2 linked regions of the Drosophila melanogaster genome follow. The protein of the gene in region 1 interacts with the protein of each later gene in a biochemical or structural test. Each region holds a gene or a part of one and is shown in the gene's direction. Other genes may lie near its edges.

Region 1 (11,229 bases):
CCTACGACAACTTGGTACGCTGTTGTTTTTGGCTTTTTGGGGTGGCTGGGTGGTTCGATGGCGGTAATGCAGGGGGGGGGTGGTGGGCGAAAGGCTACTCTGCGTGGTGGCCAAGGCGTCGGCGGCTTCATTAACTGTTCGGCGCTGCTGGCAAACGGTTCTTCGCCTCCTCAAAAAATCCACCTCGAAAAATTCGACCAACAAATACGATTTCGAAAAAGTAACGTCCAATTAAAAGCGAAATACAAAACCATTGAATATTTAATCTAAATAAATTCAGCTGAAAAAAAATATCATTTAAAGTGCTCAAAGTGTAGCTGTGTGAACGTGCGAAATATTCCAAACGAACATAAAAATTCGAAAGTCTCAAGTAAATATCGAAAATCAAACAAAGCATATTGAATTATTGCCACGTCTGGAAATTCTGATTTAGGTGAGTTTTGGCTATAAATAATCTAGCGCTGTTCGATTACAAAATTCCGTTTTGTTTATAAATAATTAAGAGCGTATTCGCCTAAGCCAGAACATCAATGAAATTGGGTTTATCCCAGCGGACCCATTAAAGCCCAAACAGGTCTCCCGGGATCTTACTCAGTTTTGATCTTGGTTCCCAGGTGCTTACGTCTTGGGGAAAAAGTTACTTGATTACAAATATTAAATCATCATTTGATCGTTTACCAAATCAGCGTCATTTACTAGTGACCTGTTTTGCGGCTTAGTCTGGCACACTATTAAAGCCAATATTAAGATACTGACGTGTTAACTGGGATCAATTTTATCGAAACGGCGCGCGCCTCTGTTTCCGAGAATTCTCGTTGTCCAATTCTAGGAAATTAAATGCATTATTAAGAGTTTAAAAGTAAAACGTTTTAACTGCCGTTCTAACATTTTAAATCGATTAGCCTATAAATAGATAATACTACCGAGAAACTAGCATTTGTGTAATTTAGCTTGTATGCAGTGCATTTTTTATGTTCTAGCGTTGAATTCCAACACGGAAAAAATTTAATATTTAAGGTAAATAAATAAATTGAATTATAAAATATGTTTCATTTTAAAATATGAGGTTGTATTATTGGATATTATTATTGATTTTTTTTTTATGTTGAACACTTAAAAATGTACAAAGTAAACGACCTGTTTCCACCTGTTTCTGATTGAAAGTGTTATACCAAAGACACTAGAATAACAAGATGCGTAACGGCCATACATTGGTTTGGTTATACCGTGTTATTGCATCAATGTCATTTTTGTTATCTAGCATTCTATTAAAGGATGTAATTTAATTTTTTGAAAAATGAGGGGCGTTTACAAAATGTCTATTCCAAAGCCACAGAGCTGACCTTTGAACAATAAATTCACATTCCTGGACCGCAAAAAAGTAAGCAGCCATGCACAAAAGCAAATTCTATAAGACTTAACAATTGCATTTGCAATTGAGGATTCGCTTTCAGTTTCTGCTCCATTGAAAATGGCAATATGTTTTAATCCACATCGAGACCACACGACTCTTGCTTTATTAAACGCTGACACATTAATTAATTAACAGTGTTTGCTCTCTCTCTTGTTGTTTTTCTGAAGATGGTGTTGTTCTTCATTCCGTAAAAGACTAAAACAACAAAAAAGTAGTGTATCTCGCCATTTGTGTTTGCATTACCTAAACTGGTGAAATGATGGAGTTCGAGACTTGGGATCAGACAACCTTGATATGGTTACCAAAAAGATGCGTGCACAGGGAGAAATTTATTTAACCAAGTCAAGAAATCTCGAAATGCTAAGAAAGAGATATCATGTTCAATAAAAAATTTATGTACTAACAATTGAACTCAAAAAAGACTAATAACATTGTATAGTACCTAGCTTAAACAACAAAAATATATATTTTCGTTTAATAAAGTTATGCTTAAATTTTTTTTTACAAATTTACTTTACTTCTCTTGCACCTGCAAGAAACAGCATACCCCTGATTGGTAACAAAATCTGCACATTGCATGCGGAACTCCATCGCCTTGTAAACAACTCCTGCAGTTACCAATTATGTAATGCGGTGAGGCAGAGTGAGTGGACTGGGAACTGGAATGGCAATCCAAAATTTCCCACTCTCCGGAGCAGATGATCTCGGTGGAGCTCTCCCAGCGCTTTCCTCTCAGCAGATTTCCGCATGGGCAAACACCCAAACACACACACACAAACACACAAATAAGGCCCCAATTGAAAGTGATTGTGTGCGAGCGGCACAATTGTGTTTGGTGAGCCGCAGAAATTACGTATACGTATGTATGTATATAGGTGAGGCGATGATTCATCGACGATTCGGGGAATCCAAAAGCCAATCAAGTGCTGCAAAGCCAAAAGCCAAAGACAAGGCAGACGGACAGGTTTTTTGTTATAGCTTAACGTTTTCTTCTCTTATGCTTCGCAAAAGTTTTGCCAATTCGTAGAGTGTTTTCTTTCCGCCAAGCTTTTCAAAATAGTGGGTTTTAGAAAAGGAAATTACACTTTAATTAAGTGTCTTATTACTGACCGTAGATATACATTTCTAGCAATTAAATCTACCTCTCTTTTATTCGCTTTTGTTTGTTTGCTTTATATATATATCAAAGTACCTTATCAAATATATAACTCGTCATTATAGAATTTAGTGCAATTTAGCAAGTATATATTGACTGCAGAAGAGCATTTGAATTCGCTGAACTAGGCTGAGTCATTTTTTTGTATCATGGCTTTTCTGCTACTCAAACATTTCGAGTTCGTCGGTAACTTGGCTGTTCGTGTTATTGATACGGCTCCCCTTCGTCCCCTTCCTTTGCTTATCACCATTATTCGTCAGCCGAATGTCTTGAATGTTAATGCACTACGCGCTTTGTTTCTTTACCTCTTTTGAGGGCGGCGCAGACCTTTCGACTTAATTCAATCACTGTGAAAAAGCTGTAGATCTGTTTTCTATTTCGCATTTTTTAACACTATTCACCTTATAATAAATTATTTTTTTTAAATTTACATGCTTCAGGCATCTGATAAAATATGCCTTTAAAGAAAATGTTAAAATTAATATTTTAATAAAATACTAAACCAACAAATGCAACAAAATCCACTTTAGATATTATTTGTCACTTAATTCAATAGGCCATTTAATATCCAGAAATCTATAATCTTTAAGTGTTTTTTGTTAAGATGTATGTGCTATTTGTTTCTCCCAGTGCATATTTGGTGGCCTTAAACTGGCGCTGGCTGAAGAGGAGCAATAAAAGCGGCAGCAACAACAAGTGGTTGCTCAACTATGCGCTCCGCCGTCAAGCCCCCTTCGCCCCCTTCCACCCCCTTCCACGATTTCTTTGGGGCTTGGCTTTGTTTTTCTGCATTCTCTCTTCCTCGCTCTCTCTCTCCCTCTCGTTCCCGCTCACGCGCGTGACCTTGAAGCGCAAATGTGCCAGAATTGCAGGGGGAGTTGTTTGGGCGGGGGTAGAGTCTTTGACTTCTCCCCCTTTTTTTCTTCTCTTCTTCTTCGGGGAGCTTAATAAAGAGTTGGAGATTTCTGTGACGTCTGATATGTTTACTGAAAGTGGCTACTACGTCATGGGGCATTTGTCATACATGTATGGCTAAAAGCACAATCGCAACTAAAATCCTTCTACAGTGATCCCTAGCCATAAAGAGCAAGAAATTTTAAAATAATAGAATAAAAGTGTGGATTACAATTGTAAATTTGATAATAACATGTTCAAAAAGTTATACAAATTGTCGTACTATATTTTCATCTATATCTAAATATTCATATTTGCTCAATAAATTGCTAAATAAATAAATATCTGTTTTCCTAACTTAAAATTTCTCAAACCCCAGAGCTGAAATAGTTTAGTTTATTTTTGCACGTCCTGAGGTATTCTTGGCTTTGTTGCAATCCTATATAGATGTAAATTGCGGCCGGGAAATTTGCTCCCAAAATGCATTTTGTCCGCAGACGAGCCCACGCTACATGAAAACTGTGTTTTTAGTTCGAAATTTTCGTGGGCTAGCAGAAATAAATTATACTATTTTCATTCATGCACAACAATAATGAAATATTTCCACCCGATTGGCAATGTTAACTGCAAATATTTTTCCCCTACGTGTTTGGTCTGCACTTGTGTTTATTTCAATGACTAAAATCTGTCTATGGAACAGAAGCCAAAAATTGAGTTAATAACTCAGTTCGACCTTAGACGTTGGCGAATCTTTTTTCGGTCTCATTTGGGAATTTTGTTGGCGTGAATTAGCAACGTTGTATGGATTTTATAATTTACATTTGCCGAGGGTCGAACTCGTTTCAGGTCTGTCAATTCCTGGGAAAATCAATAAAAACATTCAGCTGTCATACCTATATTAGATAAATAGATCTATTGTTATGCATCTGGCTAATAGTTGTCGATTTTTTTCGGCTTCTCATTCCAGAATGGCGAATGATTCACATAAAGAAAAACTTTTCCTCCTATCTGATCTTATAATAAACCTTTGATCTTGATTTGTCCAGAAACCTGTGCACTATTTTAAACGAATTTTTAATGAGAAAAGAGTTCATGTGAAATAACATCTTAGGTATTTTGAATTTTTATGATATTTCCAAACCATTCATAACAATAAATTTTCATTCCCAGCAAAAAGTACACATTTTTTTGTAAGGGAATCAATGTTTACTTATAGCCGAAAATCGAAATTGGAACACCTGCAGAGCGTTATAAAAATCTCAACACTTTTCCAAATCCACTTAAAAATCTATAACCATTTTTTCTGCTCGATGGCGTCATAGGAACGCACTTGAACACAAATACATTAGAGAGAACGAAACATTGAGTACGCACAACGGAAATGAAAATAAATAAAGGAAAAGTGAAGCAGTTTCGAAAATAAAAACAGATATTGGCACCCTCCGTCAGTTGCGATCAGCAACCATCATATCAGCAGCGGTAACTTTTTATCACGTATACGTATCACGTATACGTATCAAGTATACGAACCGAATGCATGCGATCGCAGAGAGCGAACAGCTGAGAATGGAGCCTGAGCTATCGAAGCCATTCCGAAGCTCTCTTGCAGCCGAGTGTGAAGCGAACCGCTCAGTTTCAATCTGAACTTGGCCGCCGACGGACGTGAAGCGCCGACTTGTTCACACATAGATATCCATACATATATATATACATATAGATGTACATATAACGCATATTGTGCAAGTCGCACGCGACTATATAGCTGCCAGTGTATTGGTTAATTATACGAAGCACGACAACTACAACGTAAACTACAGATGTGTGTATAAATCAATGTCCGCTCTAAACAGGCGGCTGCAGTGTCAATAGCAAAAATTAAACAAAACTCAAAAGTAAAATACATGAGCGGAGCAACAACGTCGCTTGTGGGAGCAACTTTTGTTTTTGTTTTCAATTTCTTCATAATTTTTTTGGCGCGCCTTTTGTGAGTCGCGCGCGATAAGTCCGACACATAAACCGAAAACCAGTCAATCATAAAAGACAAATTTAATCAATTACACGTGTCAACACAACAAAGAGCTAATTCGATTTCTGTCTGACCCAGTGCATTCGGATCGAGAATCCAAATTTAATCAAGCATTTAAAGCAGCCTACCTACTACACCATAAAAGGTTAGCTATAATAAATTTTCTGAAACTATAGTCAGCTAGCTAGCTTAAGGCGTAGTTTGTAAAGTCCCCGGTCCAGAAGGCGGCTTTAGAAACTTAGGTACAGACAGCTTCCCGTGTCAGGTTCGATTGCAATGGCACTGCAAAAAACTACGTGCCAGCAACTCGGCGGAATTCATAAATTTTAATCCCAGATACATAAATAAGTACACAATTTTCCGATGCGGGCAATTACTTATCTAATGCCACGTGTAATGAAATTTGTATTTATTAATAGTGAAGTGAAAAACGGGAATACGGCCGGGTTCACTAGACTGCGTAATCGCAAAAAAAAACGACAAAAAATTTTAATTTTTAGTGTATTATTTTTATTTTGTTTTTTTTGTCCATGCGGGAAATATTTTAAATATTTTTGTGACTTCTTTAATCTACTTCCTGTTTGATTTGAACCTAAACACCCGAAAGATTATAGGCATAGCTATATCAATACATTAAATATAGACTTTGTGCAATACTTCGTAAATATTTATTAAAATATGGTATGTTTTTGCTTATCAGCAAATATATATTTCTGCTAGTGTAACTGCAGTTTTGCAACCCAACAGGCGTATAATATATGCAAATGAAAACAAGAAAGGCGGTTGACTGCGATTTATTAAAAGAGAATAACACTCAGTACGACATTTACTAGTAGTCCCAGTGTTTCTTTCTTGTTTTATTGGTCGACTACGAAAAATCATTAACATACTGGTTCAGATTTGTACATTTGCACATAACATATGCCGGAACTGCACCCTAGAGTAGACATTTCCTCCCAAGAGCAATAATGTATGCAATTATAAACATTATAACTCTTATCTCAAAATTATAGTGCCAAAGCTGTTTGTGACGTTTTCACATTTCAAGCTGTTGTATTGGAAATAATTTAGGCGTTGATATAAAAAATTGGAAGAATATAGCTACTCAGTTAGTCTTTAAATAACTTTCCAAATGTGAAAGAAAATCTGCTCAAGAGGAGCCAAAAAGAAGAGGAATTCAATGGTCAAAAAAAAAAAAATCGAAGCAAATGCAAATATTTATATTAACAAAATGTAAATATTTTTACAACTGAAATCGGCACGGCAAAAGTTTATAAAAATTTGCGGTGGCATCTGGAAGATTTCGTTTATTTCATTTGTAATCAAAGGAATATACAACCTGAACCGTGGAACTGAAACTGCAATCGAAAGACACGAAATGGCATAAAGTCTTTAAGACTTTTGCCTTATCCGCACGCAAAACATTCGGCCATTTGGCCGTTTCGGAATCCATAAAAATAGAATGAAATGGAACAGTCATGGTCAAAACTTACTCAAATATCGATTTATCTGCTCCCAGCCAGCAGCTATCTAACTTGTATTGGGCGATGAACCGATGATGCCAACGGCAGCGGAATTGTTTTCGGTAATTGTAGAAAATAAAACACAAACAAAGTCCGCACTTTTCACACCTTTTGGTCCATGTGTGTGCGATTGCTTACATACAGTATAAAGTCGCAGTCTAGCTATAACTTTGCCAATTGTATTAAGCAGACTTGTTTCCGAATTGAAAGTTATTGTAAATTAAATGCCAGCGGGAGAAGGAAGGTCACAGCCTGTACACACATTTGTGTGTAGGGTGCAAGTCTAATTGGTAAACAATTGAGAAACGGTCAAAACGATGAACTCTGGATAGAGCTGGTTAAATATATGTTGCTAAGAATTATCAGAAACCTTTGAATTACTTATTCTTTAAATTAAAATTTAAATTAAAATTTAAAGAATACACAATGAGAAGCTTCATGTAAGCTATAGTATTTTCACCCACCAGTAATCGATTCAAAACTATTTTTACTGTAAAATAATATAACAAACTTATACTAATTATGTTTGTTTTCAAGAGTCAATTCAGCTTGATCAGTTTATTGAATACTTGTACACTTTTTCGGAAAACCCAAGAGAGCAAATGCAATTGCTTTGAACTTATTTCAATTAACTGATAAGACTTGAACTTTAATCAGCAAGAAGAAAATCCCAGCGGGGCTTTATATTCTAGTCTCCCTGATAACCCGGCGTGAGATTGAGTACTATACCTTATATATATTTCTTTTCATTTTCCGCATGAACAAAAACCAACTAAACTTTAAAATGATCTGTCATTCACATTTACATCGCCAACCAAAGCCCAAGTTCTACAAACAATTCACGCCACCACACAATTTTACAAACAATGCGGGGAAAAATATAGCTGAATCCCATTACGCATACGCCATGTTGTACCGAATCTGAATTGATTGAATCGTGAAAAGTTTTATAGCAAAATAATTAAATGCTGCGGTTTCCTCCAATTTTCGGCCATCGCGTGTCGGTCGTTTTTCTTGGCTGAAAGCGAATGTACGTACGAACGATTTGTCTTGGCCATTAGAATGGAAATGGCTCCAACGCTTGGGTAAATGAGGTCTGGTGCGATGTGGTCTGGCTCGGCATTCTGGGAATGTTTTTGGGGTGCTCGGGCATTATTTACTTGACTGCAAAAATGTTTCCTTTGATTTGCTTGAAAGGCAATGAAAATCGATTGGCTGTACAATTTAACTTTTGACTGCAAATGGGTGGTGATGAGCGAAGCCAACCTAGATGTAACCGAATTAATTACCTTTTAATTAGTTTTATACATTATGATTTTTCAAGTAACACGGCACACAAAATAAAAATAGCAAACGATTCGAGCATTCGACCATTCAAAATTGCCCTAATAAAAGTTGACACCGTCGGAGATTATATATTATTTCGTGTTTATCGTTTTCGTCGTTGTACTATTTACTTATTTTCTTCATAATTGCTGTCAAATGTGACAAATATCGTTTTATTCCCATTCAAAGCTTCGAACTTTTAGCTCCTAACTTAGTCGAATTTGATTCATAATTAGCTGGGAATTACTTATTGATAAGCTTATCAGCAAAAGAAGCTTAGCCATTGGTTAGCGTGCCTTCATTAAACTGGAAGCGATTTAAGCTGCGTACTAAAATCAATTTTTGTATAAAAGATTATGGAGCTATAAGAATAAGAAGAAAAAGAATTTCTAAGAATTCGATTATGTTAAGCCGAAAATTATATTACGATAGAAACTAGCCAAATATTCGCTGAAGTTCTCCAAAATCATATAAAAATAACAACCTATACATTTACTATGTGTTTTTGAGGTCATAATAAGTTTTAAAATATCTGATTTATATCAAATAAGATTTGCATACTTTGCAGTAAATATTGTTTTACACCTGAACAAGTGTCATATAAATAGCATAGCCATCTAAAATGTTGTTTGCGTTAGCAAACAAATTCAATCGATTGTGACCTCAGTAAACTTCGGATCTAGGAGTAAACAAACATTAGTTATTTATATATGCCGTGCATATAGAAAGCCAAATGGATTTCCTGCAAATGACAGCGGGGGCATGGCCCAAGTGAAGGACACTGTCAAAGAACTAGAGGAAAATCATAATTTCCAGCGCTTATTGATTTTCCGGGGTTGGGGACGTTTGCCTTCTCTTCGTTTTTTTCATTTTCGACGACGACAGGCAAAATTGGTGCTGTGGAGAAAGTTTTTATTTGAATTTAATTTTTTGTGCACATACCGAATATAATGCAAGGCACTCAGGACAACGGCAGGACCAGGCAGGCACACATGTCAGCCTGCGTACTTGAGGTGCCAAATGGTTGAATCTTGGGGATGGATTGGGGCCAGTTGTCTGCGTTTGATGTTGAATTTTGTGTGTGCGACTGGGTGTGATTAGGCCATCGGTGAGTGAATGTCGTGTGTGTGTCTGTGTGTGTGTGCGAGTTTTTGGGATTCTAGCCATCCCATCTCATCATATTCCGGCAAAAGCACTCCCCCAGTGCCACCCATTCCATTATATTCTCCTATTTAGCTGTGTGTTTATTTTCGGTTCAGAACGCGATTTTCCAATCGATTGGGCACGTGACAAGGTTCTAGCTACTGAAATATGTGTGTGTGTGTGAGTGTGTCACATTGCCATCATTACTTTTCAGATAGATAGACGACGATCCAGCGATTCTATCGTAACTCAAAACCGACATTTTCATTCCCGATGACGTCTATTTTTGACAACATTTAATTAACAATTTCTTTTACCTTGCTCACTTTTTATTCGGCTGGCGACATCCTTTCTTGTTCGCTTTATTTATGCATCAATTTGTAGCTCTGATTTATGCCACCAGAATTTTTCCAACCCTCCACGTTCAGCCCCGTCCACCTCACTTGAGCCTAAATGCGAATTAAATTTGTGCGTAGCGGTTTTTTTTTCTTTTTCTCGTTGAGAGTTGGTAGCCCCGGCTGTCTTAAAGTATTATTCAGCTTAAGATTTTCCCAAATTGAAGAAGAAACTTGAAGCTAGACGAGAAAAATGGTGGGCGAAGGTCCTGAGGAGATGAACCAAGCAATTAGGCGCTTTGGAAAGCTTTTTGCGTTTGTGGCACTTAATGAAATCTAAAAAACAAATCCAAAGAGCAAGGCAAAAACGCTTTAAGAATATTGATGTTTGAAATATTTACATTTTTCGAAGATTGATTAAGAATGAAAAAAGGAAAAATAAATATGCTACAATCGAAGAGAATGTAGAAATCTCTTGAAAAGTTATTTTTACAATCTTTCCAATAAAATAAAGCCCAATATACTCATCTATACAGACCGCTTTTGACAAAATCTTTGTTTAAAGGACTAATTGGTAGACTTAAAATTCTATATTTATTTCCTTTGCGCCGGATCTAAGTCAATTAGCTTCCCCATTAGCCTGTTTTGCTATTTTAGGAACACTTTACCCTCAGGCCACTAATGACTGTCAGGATTAAGTTTTGGAATGGGGCTTAATGAATAAATTGCTCCTGATTGTTATCCATACTTTACTATATGCCCTATATTTAATGAATTTAAAAGTTTCTTGGAAAAGCCAATTTTACGTTCAAATTGCGTGTGTCACACTTGAGTTCCTTTATTATTTATGCCCATAAGCAGGACAATCGATACGGTTTAGCTTTTTGCCACCCCTTTTGCATAAAAATTTAAACGGTACCGCTGAAATGACCCCAATCACCCCTTCACGCCAGGACATCCTTAATGCTCGTCCTGTTGCCGCTTGTATGGTGGTGTGTGTAATGCTGTGTGTAAGAGAGATTAGCGAGTTGGGTAAAAGCGATGCTGCTGCTGTCAGTGGCAGTTAAGCCGCAGCTAGCGCCAAATACTTAAAAGTTTCCTGATGTCATTTGCCCCACGTCGTCTGCTACACTGAAGAAAAAAGTTGCGATACCCAAATTAGAAAATATATTTAAAAAAGAGTTCTAATACAATTTCTGTGCTTTAAAATTAAACACCTAGAGTATTCTTTTTGTAACAAAGTAAATCCTTACTGCCTAACTTGTTCTTTCATTAGGGCTTAAGCATATGAGAAATCCTTTTTAGCATATAGAAACGCGTATTTGTACAAATAATATACAAATTTACTTTATCTTTACTTAAAAGGCTCAATATTATTTTTCTTGTGGCCGCATTTGCTTATTACTCAGCTT
Region 2 (12,684 bases), on another chromosome or scaffold:
GACGTGGTATGGACTTGATTAGCCACTCCGGTGGTATTACAGGTGGAGCGGAACCGGGACCCGATCCTGGCTTAAGGCCATCACAAATTACGATGCGATTGGCATTGCGCAGTTTCTGCTCCAGTTCCATGGCCGCCATTTGATAGGCGGGATTGGGGTGGTGGGTCTTCCCGGTGCTGGTGGATGGTATATCATCCGTGGCCAGTCCGCCCGTAACGCTGGCCACGCTGTTGTTGTTGCTAACAACGGCCGTGGCGGCGACATTGATCTTCGGATCCAGCGATAGACCGCTGAAATGCTGGGTGATCCTCTCCTCGGTTATAAGCATTTTGGGTGGTCTGCAATGAGTTCTGTGGTTAGTATTTTATGTGGATGTTGTGTTGAGGATATAGCTTACAGCACTGCCGGTGCCGGCTGCTCGGATTTTCGCTTATGCTGCCATTTTACCAGATCATTCTCCACCGAATTGCCGAAGGTGCTGCAGCTCCCGAATCCGAAGTCCATGATACCGCCCGGAGGAGGCGCATTGAATGGGAATGATTTCCGCTTGCTCTGGGGCTTCATCGCCAGTCTGTGGGCATCAGAGATGCAGTTGCGTGGGCAATAGTTATGCAAAGGAATGGTGTTCAAAATTGCAATGGAGATTGGATTTGCGACTTCTTGTTTTCCTTTTCACTGCAGTGTGGCCAGATGGCGTTGGCATAAATAAACCAAAAAAGATGCATCACACTTGCACTGCTAAGACACACTCAAACGTTAAGCGTTGAATTTACAACAGTATCAGATTATTCATACAGATAAAATTGTACGTGCGCAGCATTATCTTCGTTTTATTCTTGGTTATTGAGAAATCTGCAATTTGTCTACCCCTGAAATATTTTAATCTAAGGCCAATTTCGAAATTTCGAACTAGAAAGGTACTAAAAAATACCCGTTTTAAGAGCCATAAAAAGGGCTGCAACGCGCTTCTTTTAAATATTCCAAAGCGACAAGTGTGAAACCAAGTTCTTTTATAGAATACTTTAAACAAAAAGTGTTGCAATATTTAACGAGCTTAAAAGTATATTAGTGCAATAAACTCTAATAGGACATCAGATATTATTCAACAGATCAAACGTTTTCAGTTATTAAAAGAACTCGATTCAAAATGCGATTCACAAGGTGAGTTTTTGAAATCCGTACTTTGTTACATCTCCATTATTCATCGAATATAGCTATATATTAATTATGCCATGTGCTTCTCCTACAAGCATTTTTAGTTCTTAATTATTGTTTTGAAAACATGAGTTACAATGAAAAATAAAGGACAAAACATTTTCTTTCTGAAAACTTCGAAAATAGTTCTATAGCTTAAAACAATTTTGACAATAAATTCACAATAATTTTCTATCACGCATCCTTGGGACACAAATTTGTAACGACCAGAGAAAGTAAAATGCTCGTCGAAATATTCCAGTTGTAAATTAAACAAGCTTGTTAAAGCATGACTCCCATTGGGCAGCCCACTCGCACTTTCCACGGGGGTTATCTCCGTTCGAAAATAACATGTTTTTCAACCCAAAACGGGAGCAATCATCGTCCGCGAACAACATTGTTAATGACGCCTGCATTGTTTTTCCTCTGGCTAAAAACAAAAATCGCCAGTTACCAGGCGTTTGTGCATCAATTCCATAACTTATGGAATAGGTAATGGGTGATCAGAGGGGGCTGAACTCAAAGGCTTATCAGTGGGAGACGTTGGTGGCCCCCTGTGGAGCAAATTGACGTCACCGGCCAACAGAATCCAACTTAATCTCCGAGTGCAGTAATCGGAAATCAGATTTCGTCATCCGCCGCGTCGAAGAAAAACAAACTATTGAAAAATAACTCGTGTCGGAAATTTTAGAACAGCAAATATTCCCAACCAAAATCGTAATCATGTAACTGGTAATAAAAGCAACAAAAGTTGTTCTCCACGTCTTTAAGAATTTCCTAAATAAATATTTGTGCACACAAGGCGAACTTTTAAAAATTTTCATGTTGAGAAAATAAAATATGTTCAATATGTGTTTAGCTATTTTCCGCGTTGTTTCAAAATCGAAAATCCATATATGCACATATGTATTTGTTCCGTTTTAAGCCATATTTATATGCACACAGTTCAAAACTTTTATCGACAAGTGTTTAAAGCTTTTAAGTCGCGCTCGCTCGCACACGCATATTTAGTGCGCTGAACCGAAAAGCTTTTATCCAAAATATACAAACACGTGCGAGGCTCATTCAGTGATCTGTTTCGTTCTATACAGTCCATCGGTATCCGACAATCAGTGCAGTTCGAATTTTCCACCAGGAAAATTTCGCAAAAGCCAACAAAAGAAGTCACAATAAGGTATGCTGCTAGTGAAAATTGGCTAACAAAAATCCATAAAAAATACATAATTGACCTTCAAAGAAATTTGAATAGGCGTTCTTAAGACACGTTTGCTTTTATCAAGCCAAGAAAACGAATTTTCCTTTGTCCGCATAAAGAGCTAATTTTGTAGCCTGCCTATTAATAACTCTAGTCTAGACGCAGACTAGTGGTTGCAAAGTCAAGACCCCGATTTGTTTATGTTTTTCCTGCTAATTGATTATCAATATAAACAAACTCATCGTCAACTGATAAGGTGTAAAAGCATTTACACACACACACCCACACACCTTGGCATGGTAACAAGAGTAAGAGAGGAACGGCGAAGTGAGAAGATTGATTAACACATCAAAAAGTGCAAAGGGATCGTAAATACATACATATATACTCTAAGTGCAGCCTGGCAACAGATCAGCTGTTTCTGCGTGAGTGTGCGTGTGTGTGTGCGCGGGTCCAGTGGGAGTGGAAACCGACTGAATTGCAAATTAGTTCAGTGGCGCATGCTTATGTAGTTTTTTTTTATCATTTAGCACAAGTGTCTTAGGATAAAAGAACATTCCGGTGTTTTAAATTTTCCAACCATGTTGCGACGTTCTATAGGATCCATTTCGGTCTTGGCTTCCCGGAATTACGCCGGAAAGTCTAACTTCAGGTGTGTATGCTCATAAGAAAGTGAATCGGGTCCGAAATAAAACGTAATATCATACGAAGAAAAACAAAGCGTGCGCTAGAGATGAGTGCGTGACGAAAGTGAATTAAGGGAAAAGCCAATGGAAAGCGTAAAAATATATTATTAATAATACTAATATTCGGTACTTGCATTGCATAATTATTATTATTTTATAACACAGTTATAAGTTGTTACGCCGGTTCTCATTATAAATTTGTATTAAAATTCCTTATATCTTTATATTTATATAAGTGTTGTATTATTTATATTAATATTTTGTATTATATACCTTTATATCTTTTTGTCGAAATAGGTTAAATTATATTTATAAAAATTAATCAAGAATAATGGGAACAAACAATCGCGTACGCTTCCATCCCTAGATTTGTAGAACATCTGATTGGGGCGTTGCCACCCAACTCGTTTTATCTGCCGGTGGCAGCTCTGCCTTGTTTTTATTTTAGTGTGCGCGGTGTGTTGAAATCAGGTATTCAAATAAATGAATTTGAACCGTAGTTTCCGTGAAAAGCTGACCCGAAAGCTCGGCGCAAATAGCTTAAACCTGTTATCAGGGCAGCGAGCGTTTTGCTCGCAACTCGTGAGCGATACTACTTGTGTTCGCGCAGTGCTTCGTTCATTTTCGTTCCAGCAGTGGCGCACTAAAGTTCCCCGATTCGCTGCGTCGTTTTTCCATAAATTTGCATATATGTATTAGTTGGGTGGAATACATATAAACAGTGTGATTTCGCTCTGTAAACAACAACCGCGAATCCAGAATTCCGTACATGCTTATAGTATAGCCGATCAAAAAAATCACACTGAGTGGTGCGCCAGAAAAACCCGTGAGTCATCTCGACGTGGCCGCCGCAGATAATTTCCCATCCGCCGAACATCGGGGAAGTACCTAAAACGAATGGTCAGCCATCGGCGGAGCTCGTTTCGATCATTAGCGTTCCGATCGGCGAAGGCAGCGGATCACTTTTGAGTTGTTAAGACGCTATTGATCAGAAATATTGGATTGATACGGACTATGAACATGAATCAGTACTACGACCTGGACAATGGGAAAAATGTGATGTTTATGAACGATGCATCCAGCACCAGTGGCTATAGCAGCAGTACATCACCCAACTCCACCAACCGATCCTTTTCACCAGCCCACTCCCCGAAAACCATGGAACTGCAAACGGACTTCGCCAATCTTAATTTGCCCGGCGGCAATTCACCACACCAGCCGCCAATGGCAAACTCACCATACCAGAATCAGCTGTTGAACAACGGCGGAATTTGCCAATTGGGTGCTACCAATTTAATAAACTCCACTGGCGTTAGTTTCGGCGTTGCTAATGTCACCAGTTTTGGCAACATGTACATGGATCACCAGTACTTTGTGCCCGCTCCGGCCACTGTGCCACCGTCCCAAAACTTTGGATACCATCAAAATGGCCTGGCATCTGACGGCGATATCAAACACGTGCCGCAGCTGCGGATCGTTGAGCAACCGGTGGAGAAGTTCCGCTTTCGGTACAAGAGCGAGATGCATGGAACACATGGATCGCTAAATGGCGCCAATTCGAAGCGGACGCCCAAAACCTTCCCGGAGGTTACACTGTGCAACTACGATGGACCCGCCGTCATCCGGTGCAGTTTGTTCCAAACTAACTTGGACAGCCCACATTCCCATCAGCTGGTCGTGCGCAAGGACGATCGGGATGTGTGCGATCCGCATGATTTGCACGTGTCCAAGGAGCGCGGCTATGTGGCGCAATTTATCAACATGGGCATCATACACACCGCCAAGAAGTACATATTCGAGGAACTGTGCAAGAAGAAGCAGGATCGCCTGGTCTTTCAGATGAACCGCCGCGAGTTGTCCCACAAACAGCTACAGGAACTGCATCAGGAGACAGAGCGTGAGGCCAAGGACATGAACTTGAACCAGGTGGGTAAACCAGCGCGTAAACAATATCGAGTTGCTTGCTTCGATGAGGTGAATATGCACGTTTGCATTTATTATTCACACGTTTAATTGCTCACTTTAGAATGCTTTAGTCAATTAATTATAGGTTGCATTTGCTACCTTTTAATCTTTTTATTTAAGCAGTCTGTAAAGTATCTACTCGTTTAGCTCGAATTATATAAATTTCTCTGCTAAAATAACTGAGCAATATAACATCGAAGCAATTAACTTACTGAAAAGCAACAAAGAACTCACTAAAAAAGTAACACCAACTTTAGGTGCGGCTCTGCTTTGAGGCCTTTAAAATTGAGGACAACGGCGCATGGGTTCCACTTGCACCGCCTGTATACAGCAATGCAATCAATAACCGCAAGTCGGCACAAACTGGAGAGCTTCGCATCGTCCGCCTGAGCAAACCCACTGGCGGGGTGATGGGCAACGATGAGCTTATTCTACTGGTGGAAAAGGTCAGCAAGAAGAACATTAAAGTGAGGTTCTTCGAGGAGGATGAGGACGGGGAAACCGTGTGGGAGGCATACGCAAAGTTCCGCGAATCGGATGTACACCACCAATATGCCATTGTGTGCCAGACGCCTCCGTACAAAGATAAGGACGTGGACCGCGAGGTCAACGTGTACATCGAGCTCATTCGTCCCTCCGACGATGAGCGCTCATTCCCGGCGCTGCCCTTCCGCTACAAGCCACGGAGCGTAATTGTGTCGAGGAAACGCCGACGAACCGGGTCCTCTGCCAATAGCAGCAGTTCGGGAACAGAAAGCTCTAATAACTCGCTGGATCTGCCCAAAACGCTGGGCTTGGCGCAGCCACCAAATGGCTTGCCAAACCTTTCACAGCATGATCAGACTATAAGTGAGGAGTTCGGACGCGAAAAGCATCTAAATGAATTTATTGCTTCCGAAGATTTCCGCAAACTTATCGAGCACAACTCTTCTGATCTCGAGAAGATCTGCCAGTTAGACATGGGAGAGTTGCAGCACGATGGTCATAACCGGGCGGAAGTGCCATCGCATCGAAATCGTACAATTAAATGCTTGGATGACTTATTCGAAATTTACAAACAGGACCGCATATCGCCAATAAAAATCTCGCACCACAAAGTGGAGAAGTGGTTTATCGAGCATGCTCTGAATAACTACAATAGAGACACGCTCCTGCACGAAGTGATCAGCCACAAAAAGGACAAACTGAAGCTGGCCATCCAGACGATACAGGTGATGAACTACTTCAATCTGAAAGATGTGGTCAATAGCACTTTGAATGCGGACGGTGATAGTGCCCTGCATGTGGCGTGCCAGCAAGACCGAGCGCACTACATACGACCTTTGCTGGGTATGGGATGCAATCCAAATCTGAAGAATAATGCCGGAAATACCCCACTGCATGTGGCCGTCAAGGAGGAGCACTTAAGCTGCGTGGAAAGCTTCCTTAATGGAGTGCCAACCGTACAATTGGACCTCTCGCTAACGAACGACGATGGTCTGACGCCTTTGCACATGGCCATTCGACAGAACAAGTACGATGTGGCCAAGAAACTGATCAGCTATGATCGGACCTCGATTAGCGTGGCCAACACAATGGATGGTAATAATGCACTCCACATGGCAGTTCTGGAGCAAAGTGTGGAGCTATTGGTGCTCATTCTGGATGCCCAAAATGAAAACCTTACCGACATCCTGCAGGCACAAAATGCAGCCGGCCATACTCCCTTGGAATTGGCCGAACGCAAGGCAAATGACCGGGTGGTCCAGCTGCTGAAGAATGTGTATCCGGAGAAGGGAGAACTGGCCATGACCTGGATTCCATGTAAGGTCAAGGAGGAGATCGATTCATCGTCGGACGAAAGTAGCGATGCTGGTCAGCTGGAGATCAAGTCCGAGGAGATGGACATCGAAACAAAGGACGAGGATTCCGTGGAGTTGGACCTAAGTAGTGGTCCAAGAAGACAGAAAGATGAATCCAGTAGAGACACCGAAATGGACAACAACAAATTGCAGTTGCTGCTCAAAAACAAATTCATTTACGACCGGCTCTGTTCGCTGCTGAATCAGCCTTTGGGACATGGGTCCGATCCCCAAGATCGGAAATGGATGCAACTAGCCCGCCAGACGCATCTGAAGCAGTTCGCCTTTATATGGCTGGGCGCGGAGGATCTGTTGGATCACGTGAAAAGAAAAGGAGCCTCTGTAGAGTTTTCCACATTTGCTCGTGCCCTGCAGGCAGTGGATCCACAGGCTTACGCCCTACTGGTTAACCCAACTTGATTATGTATTGAATGTTGATCAATAAAGTACCTTAGTTTTACAAATACTATTCTCTTGTGGAATGAAAAATACGCGAAACTAGGATGCCTGGGATAGCAAGCTTTATTTTTAAATATCAGAGCATTAATTTATTTTCCTTTATTAGCATTTATTTAGTTTCCTTTATTATTCCATGGAATCTATTCTTTAGAATAGTTCTATAAGCAATCTAAACTTGTTCCCTCAAACAATTACCATCGGCGCCCTGCATGAGATCACTAGCAAAAGGGGATCCATCGATAGCTCGGCATTAAAAAGTACATTCTAAGAATGGGGAATCACTAATTTTTCATTGCCGCTCGCGCACGCCGCTTGGTAAACAAGTGGGTGAATCATACATGTACTTATGCGCCTAAGTGTGTGTTGTGGGGGAATTACTGTTGCGTAACTGCAGTGACAGGCGGGGATTTACCGACAGCCCTTATCATTCCCGGTTTATGACCTTTCCTGCTATATTTTTTCAAGAATATCGCAACTAAATAATGTTTTAAGGAATAGTACAGTGTAATCTCATTCAATTAAATAATATTATGATCGCATTCCAGCAACATGGCTCAAATTATCGATGGCAAGGCCATAGCCCAGGAGGTGCGCACCCAACTAGCACACGAGCTCAAGGGAATGGAGGCTGCTGGCTATCCGAAGCCCCATCTCACGGCCGTCATTGTGGGCGAGGATCCGGCTAGCGAGAAGTATGTGGCTAACAAGATGGTCGCCTGCCGGGAGGTGGGCATCTCCAGTGAGACCAAGAGATTGCCCGCCTCTACCACGCAGGAGGAGCTGCTGCAACTGATTGCCGATCTGAACAAGGATCCCCAGGTCACGGGGATACTGGTGCAGCTGCCGGTACCCGAGCACATCAATGAGCGCACCATCTGCAATGCCGTCGATGTGGACAAGGATGTGGATGGCTTCAATGAGGTCAACATCGGACGCACGGCTCTGGACATGGAGGCCAATATTCCGGCCACGCCGCTGGGAGTCAAGCGACTGTTGGAGCATATGAAAATCGAAACTCTCGGTCGTAACGCCGTTGTGGTGGGACGCTCCAAGAATGTCAGTCTACCGATGGCAATCTTGCTGCACGCGGATGGCAAGTATGCCACCAAGGCAATGGATGCCACGGTGACCATCTGCCACAGGTATACACCGCCCAAGGAACTGGCTCGCCATTGCCGCCAAGCGGATATCATTGTGGTCGCAGTGGGAAAGCCGGGTTTGATCACCAAGGACATGGTTAAGCCCGGAGCCTGTGTCATCGACGTGGGCATCAACCGCATCAAGGATGAGAGCACTGGCCAGTTTAAGCTGGTCGGAGACGTGGACTTTGAAGGTGTGTGGCTGATCTATTAAATCACTAAAGACCAACAAGATTGATTCATTTCCTCATCACTTTGCAGAAGTTCGCCAGGTCGCCGGCCACATCACTCCTGTGCCCGGCGGAGTTGGTCCCATGACGGTGGCCATGCTGATGCACAACACGCTGAAGGCAGCCAGGAAGCAGTTCGATGATCGCAAGTCCTCCTGAAGATTCACCAGTAACTATCGTGCTTCGCTGGCCGAGAAATAGTATTTTTATTTAATCCCCTAAACCTATATTAGATAGTAAAGTTACTGACCACAAGCTAACATGACATAAACCCACATATTTTGCTATATAAACAGAAATAATGAAATACTACTATTTCGTTTGATTTATGACTTTAACGATGGGAGGTATGAAAAAGTTCCAATATATGATCTTTGAAAAGGTTAAATAATTGAGAAAATATACTTGATGACAGCCAAATAAATTCCAATTATGTTACCTTCTGTTTGAATAACCGAAACAGAATGGCTTTTAACTGTTTATTATCACTAAAAATACAAAGGATACTTGCTCTCAGATGTTTGTGTTTTGTAGTTTACATTGTACAATTTGAACGAAAAACTTTATCTTAACTACTAACTGCGTATTTGGGCCTATTTGCACGATCGCAGGCCTGCGACTTATAATGCTGTTGCCAAAAGCGAGATAATCCTGGTCGGGCTCTAATCGGAAACTCGCACTGGAACTGGCCAAATGCCCCAGATTCGGCTTGGTGTCTTTCCTACGGAAGTTGGGCGCACACTGTAACATACTATTTGCGTCGTTTGTTGCATAATGTAGTACAGCCTGTCTATAATAATGGTAACTACTTGGGAGTGGGATTGAAAACAGCAGGTGTCGTGTTTCAGCAGAACGTTTAAGAATGCGGTGAGGGTTAATATCGTAAATCGGGCTTGTACTTGGCTATATATCTAAAAAGATTGCATTGTAAATCTTTTGTAACGAAATGGTGGATTTTTATATAAGCACTTACTTGTCCAAAGTTTCCCAAAATTTGCTGAGCACTGCCCGATCCATATGACGCTTGTTTTGCGATAGTCGGAGTAGCGTCACTGACCAGCGCTCCACGTTTGAGTCCAATTTCATTTCGCTAAAGCACAAATGAAAAGCGCAAACTGCAGTAGGTAAGAAAATGAGACTTAGTGAATTAAACTTAGAGAGCTGGGCATGATGTTAACTAACTTTTTGAGAATATATCGACGGGATTGCCTTCCCAAGGCCAGCCCTTGAACTGCCACTGGGGTCCCATAACGAAGACGGCCACCACCCGTTGCCACTCCTGTTGCGAGAGCTTGGTGGGATTATCTATCACCCGGTAAGACACAGTCTGATTGTTGCGTTTTCGCTATGTGTGAATAAAAGGGAAAATAAATTAGCACTGGTGTATGCCAACTCTTATCTTTAATATTTTAATAGGAAATTGAATACATCTTCGGAAACAAATGCTGTAAAACCTTTTGGTATATAAACCATTTGGAAGAGAATTCGTTACATTAAATCGCACCTGTAACAGCACTTCGCATTCGCGCTGGCAGCCCTGCAGCTTTTTATCCGAGGTGGACATGAAGCGCAGTTCCTGCAGGATATCCTTCGCGTTGAGCATGGTAATGAGGCTTGTGTTGGCAGACGGTATGATAATAATGGGGGTGCGAGATGTTCGCTTCGATGGACCATTGGCGGGCAGTTGCCGAGCTTGGGCCGCAGGTAGCAATTCCTTGGGCCGCCCGGCGGCTGCTCCCGCTATTACACCCGGTGCTCCCGGTAGGTTGTTAGCCTGCGCCTTACGCTGAGCCAGTGAGCCCTCCGTCACGGATTTCAGCGACATACCGTGGTATGTGCCGAGCGTGTCGATCTTAAAGCCCTCGGTCTCCTCCTTTTGCCGATTGAAGCGCTCCTGGTCGTAACGGTTGTATTGCGAGAGCTGCGGTTGTGGTTTGGCTATTCGAGCCGGCTCCGGCATCTTAATGGGATTGGGCACCTGTGGACGATTGCGTCCCTCCTCGCGCGCCTTGATGCCCTGAAGCATAGCAAAGATGTTCTTGGCAAAGATCTTGCCCGTGCTTTGCAGAATCGAAGTTCGCGTGCGCCACTGCCGTTCTCTGCTGATAATGTCCTTTGTGGAGTCCACATCATAGTCCAGGATGGCACGCAAATCAGTTCCCATGGCCTCGTCATTGTCCGTCCTTTTAATGGTCGTTCGCTTGTTGGCCAGACGCTTTGCCTTGATGGCGGCGATCTTCTCAACGGACATCGTCTCGGACAGCGACTTGATGTTGTCCATGTTGACAGCGGTCTCCTTCTGGTTGACATCCCATCGGGCGGCCAATTGCTCGCGCACCTTCTGCACTTGAGTCTCCTCGAAGCGGGCCTTCTTGGCAGCCACCTCAACGCTGGAAGGTTCACCCTCGGCGGCACGCTTCACCTGAGTGGGGATTTCCAGCGGGGCACTCTTGTCGATGCTGGCACACGTTGGCGTCTCGCCATTCAGATAGGCCAGGAGCTCTTTACGATCCGGCCGATTCACAGCGGGTATATCCTCGGCGGCGCACTGTCGCACGTAGACCGAGTGTTGCAGCATCACATTCTTGAGCAGGTACAGCAGGCACTCCAGCGTGTAGTACTCACGTGGAGCGCCCTTCTTACCGGATCTAATCGACGGGAGAAAAGTGTAAGAGTTAGTGGCTAATCCTAGTTGTCCCACAGGTCGTCCTGACCGCACTTACCCATATTTGAGATAGTTGGTCTTCACGCTCTTCGGCCAGGAGAACTCGCCGAAGATAATCTGGCTGTCTCGCTCGACAATCTCCTTTTTGTTTATGTTGTACTGCCGAAGCAGGCTGAGCGGATCTGCCATTTTTCTGCCGGTTTTCTGTGTGTTTTCGGGCGGCGGGCGTGTGTGGTCGGTGTCGCTCTGGAAGGCGCGCGGCGGCTACGCACTTTGTAATCCGCGAAAGATATATAAACAACTTCGATTCTCGCTTTTTATGGCATATTTTTAGTTTTTTGCCAGAGGTTGCGTGGAGTGTGACCGTAGGCGGGGTGAAAAATACCAAATATCATAGAGAGTGCATCGCTTCTCATTTGGTATAAATCGCTGAAGTTTCGTCTTTAAAAAATATCGCACTAAGTCACGGCTTTTCGTATCCTGTGATTTGTTAACAATTAGTTTTCTTAATGGCACGTTATACAACGACAACTCTTTAGAACACTTCACATCTTCAGGAATTGGCATCATTAATAAACGAAGTAAATGACTTTTCTAGCGCGTCTAGTGATTTGTTTATTTATAAATATTGTATGGTATATTCTTGTGTGGCAGATGGCAAAGCTGGACTGTCATGTTTAAATACTAACGCGGTCACACTAAAAAAAAGCCTTGCGACCGGCAGCTCCATCCAAATAACAATTAGGCAAAGCTTTAAAATGCATCGCATTTAACGCCTATGATTCCGGAAGTGAGCTAGCCTGCCAATAGCACACGATCGGCTCACGGTGCACATAATATCGAGCTTATGCGAGGGCTGGTCTACGTGAAAATTCAATGCCAAAGAAGCTGTGTGTGTCCTAGTTGTTGTGGCTGTTGTTTCTTGTGCCTTTCGGGAAGCGAAACACGCAATTTGTGATTTTAATTAAGCAATGGGTCAGTCGGCTGGTAAAATAGGTAAGTAAACAAGGCTTGATTTAACATGGGATGTCGCGTAAGGAGGATTTAGCTTGTCTGTCACCTTACAACAAATAAGCCGAATCGCCATAAGTTGGTAAAGTTTCTATTTAAAATGGAATCCTAAAGTTATAGTAAAGTGTATTACAGTTATAAGCCCCGCTTGAATATGAATTAAAAAACTATGGGCATTCCAATAGGTTTGTGACCTTCCCACCACCCACACACTCACATGTTGGCAAACAGCTGATCCCCCTTAGCGATGACACTCGCTGGTTTCGCGTTAGTGTCGATAGTTTTTGTTACTTGATTTT

What was found.
Region 2: the proteins of Dif (region 1) and Rel form a complex in vitro, tested with the Drosophila melanogaster proteins (one study listed by BioGRID).

What each region holds. Positions count from the first base shown.
Region 1 is NT_033779.5:17,422,062-17,433,290, reverse strand, and holds the start of Dif (Dorsal-related immunity factor), read left to right. Parts: upstream 1-5,091; 5' UTR 5,092-5,635; intron 5,636-11,229.
Region 2 is NT_033777.3:9,038,841-9,051,524, reverse strand, and holds Rel (relish), read left to right. Parts: upstream 1-3,547; 5' UTR 3,548-4,089; coding exon 4,090-5,001; intron 5,002-5,297; coding exon 5,298-7,301; 3' UTR 7,302-7,342; downstream 7,343-12,684. Other genes in the region: Mst85C, read right to left, coding at 1-338, 398-564; Nmdmc (NAD-dependent methylenetetrahydrofolate dehydrogenase), read left to right, coding at 1,148-1,161, 7,886-8,673, 8,741-8,868; hyx (hyrax), read right to left, coding at 9,584-9,620, 9,683-9,824, 9,892-10,054, 10,214-11,357, 11,433-11,563. UniProt on the Drosophila melanogaster protein: Transcription factor that plays a key role in the humoral immune response as part of the peptidoglycan recognition protein (IMD) signaling pathway.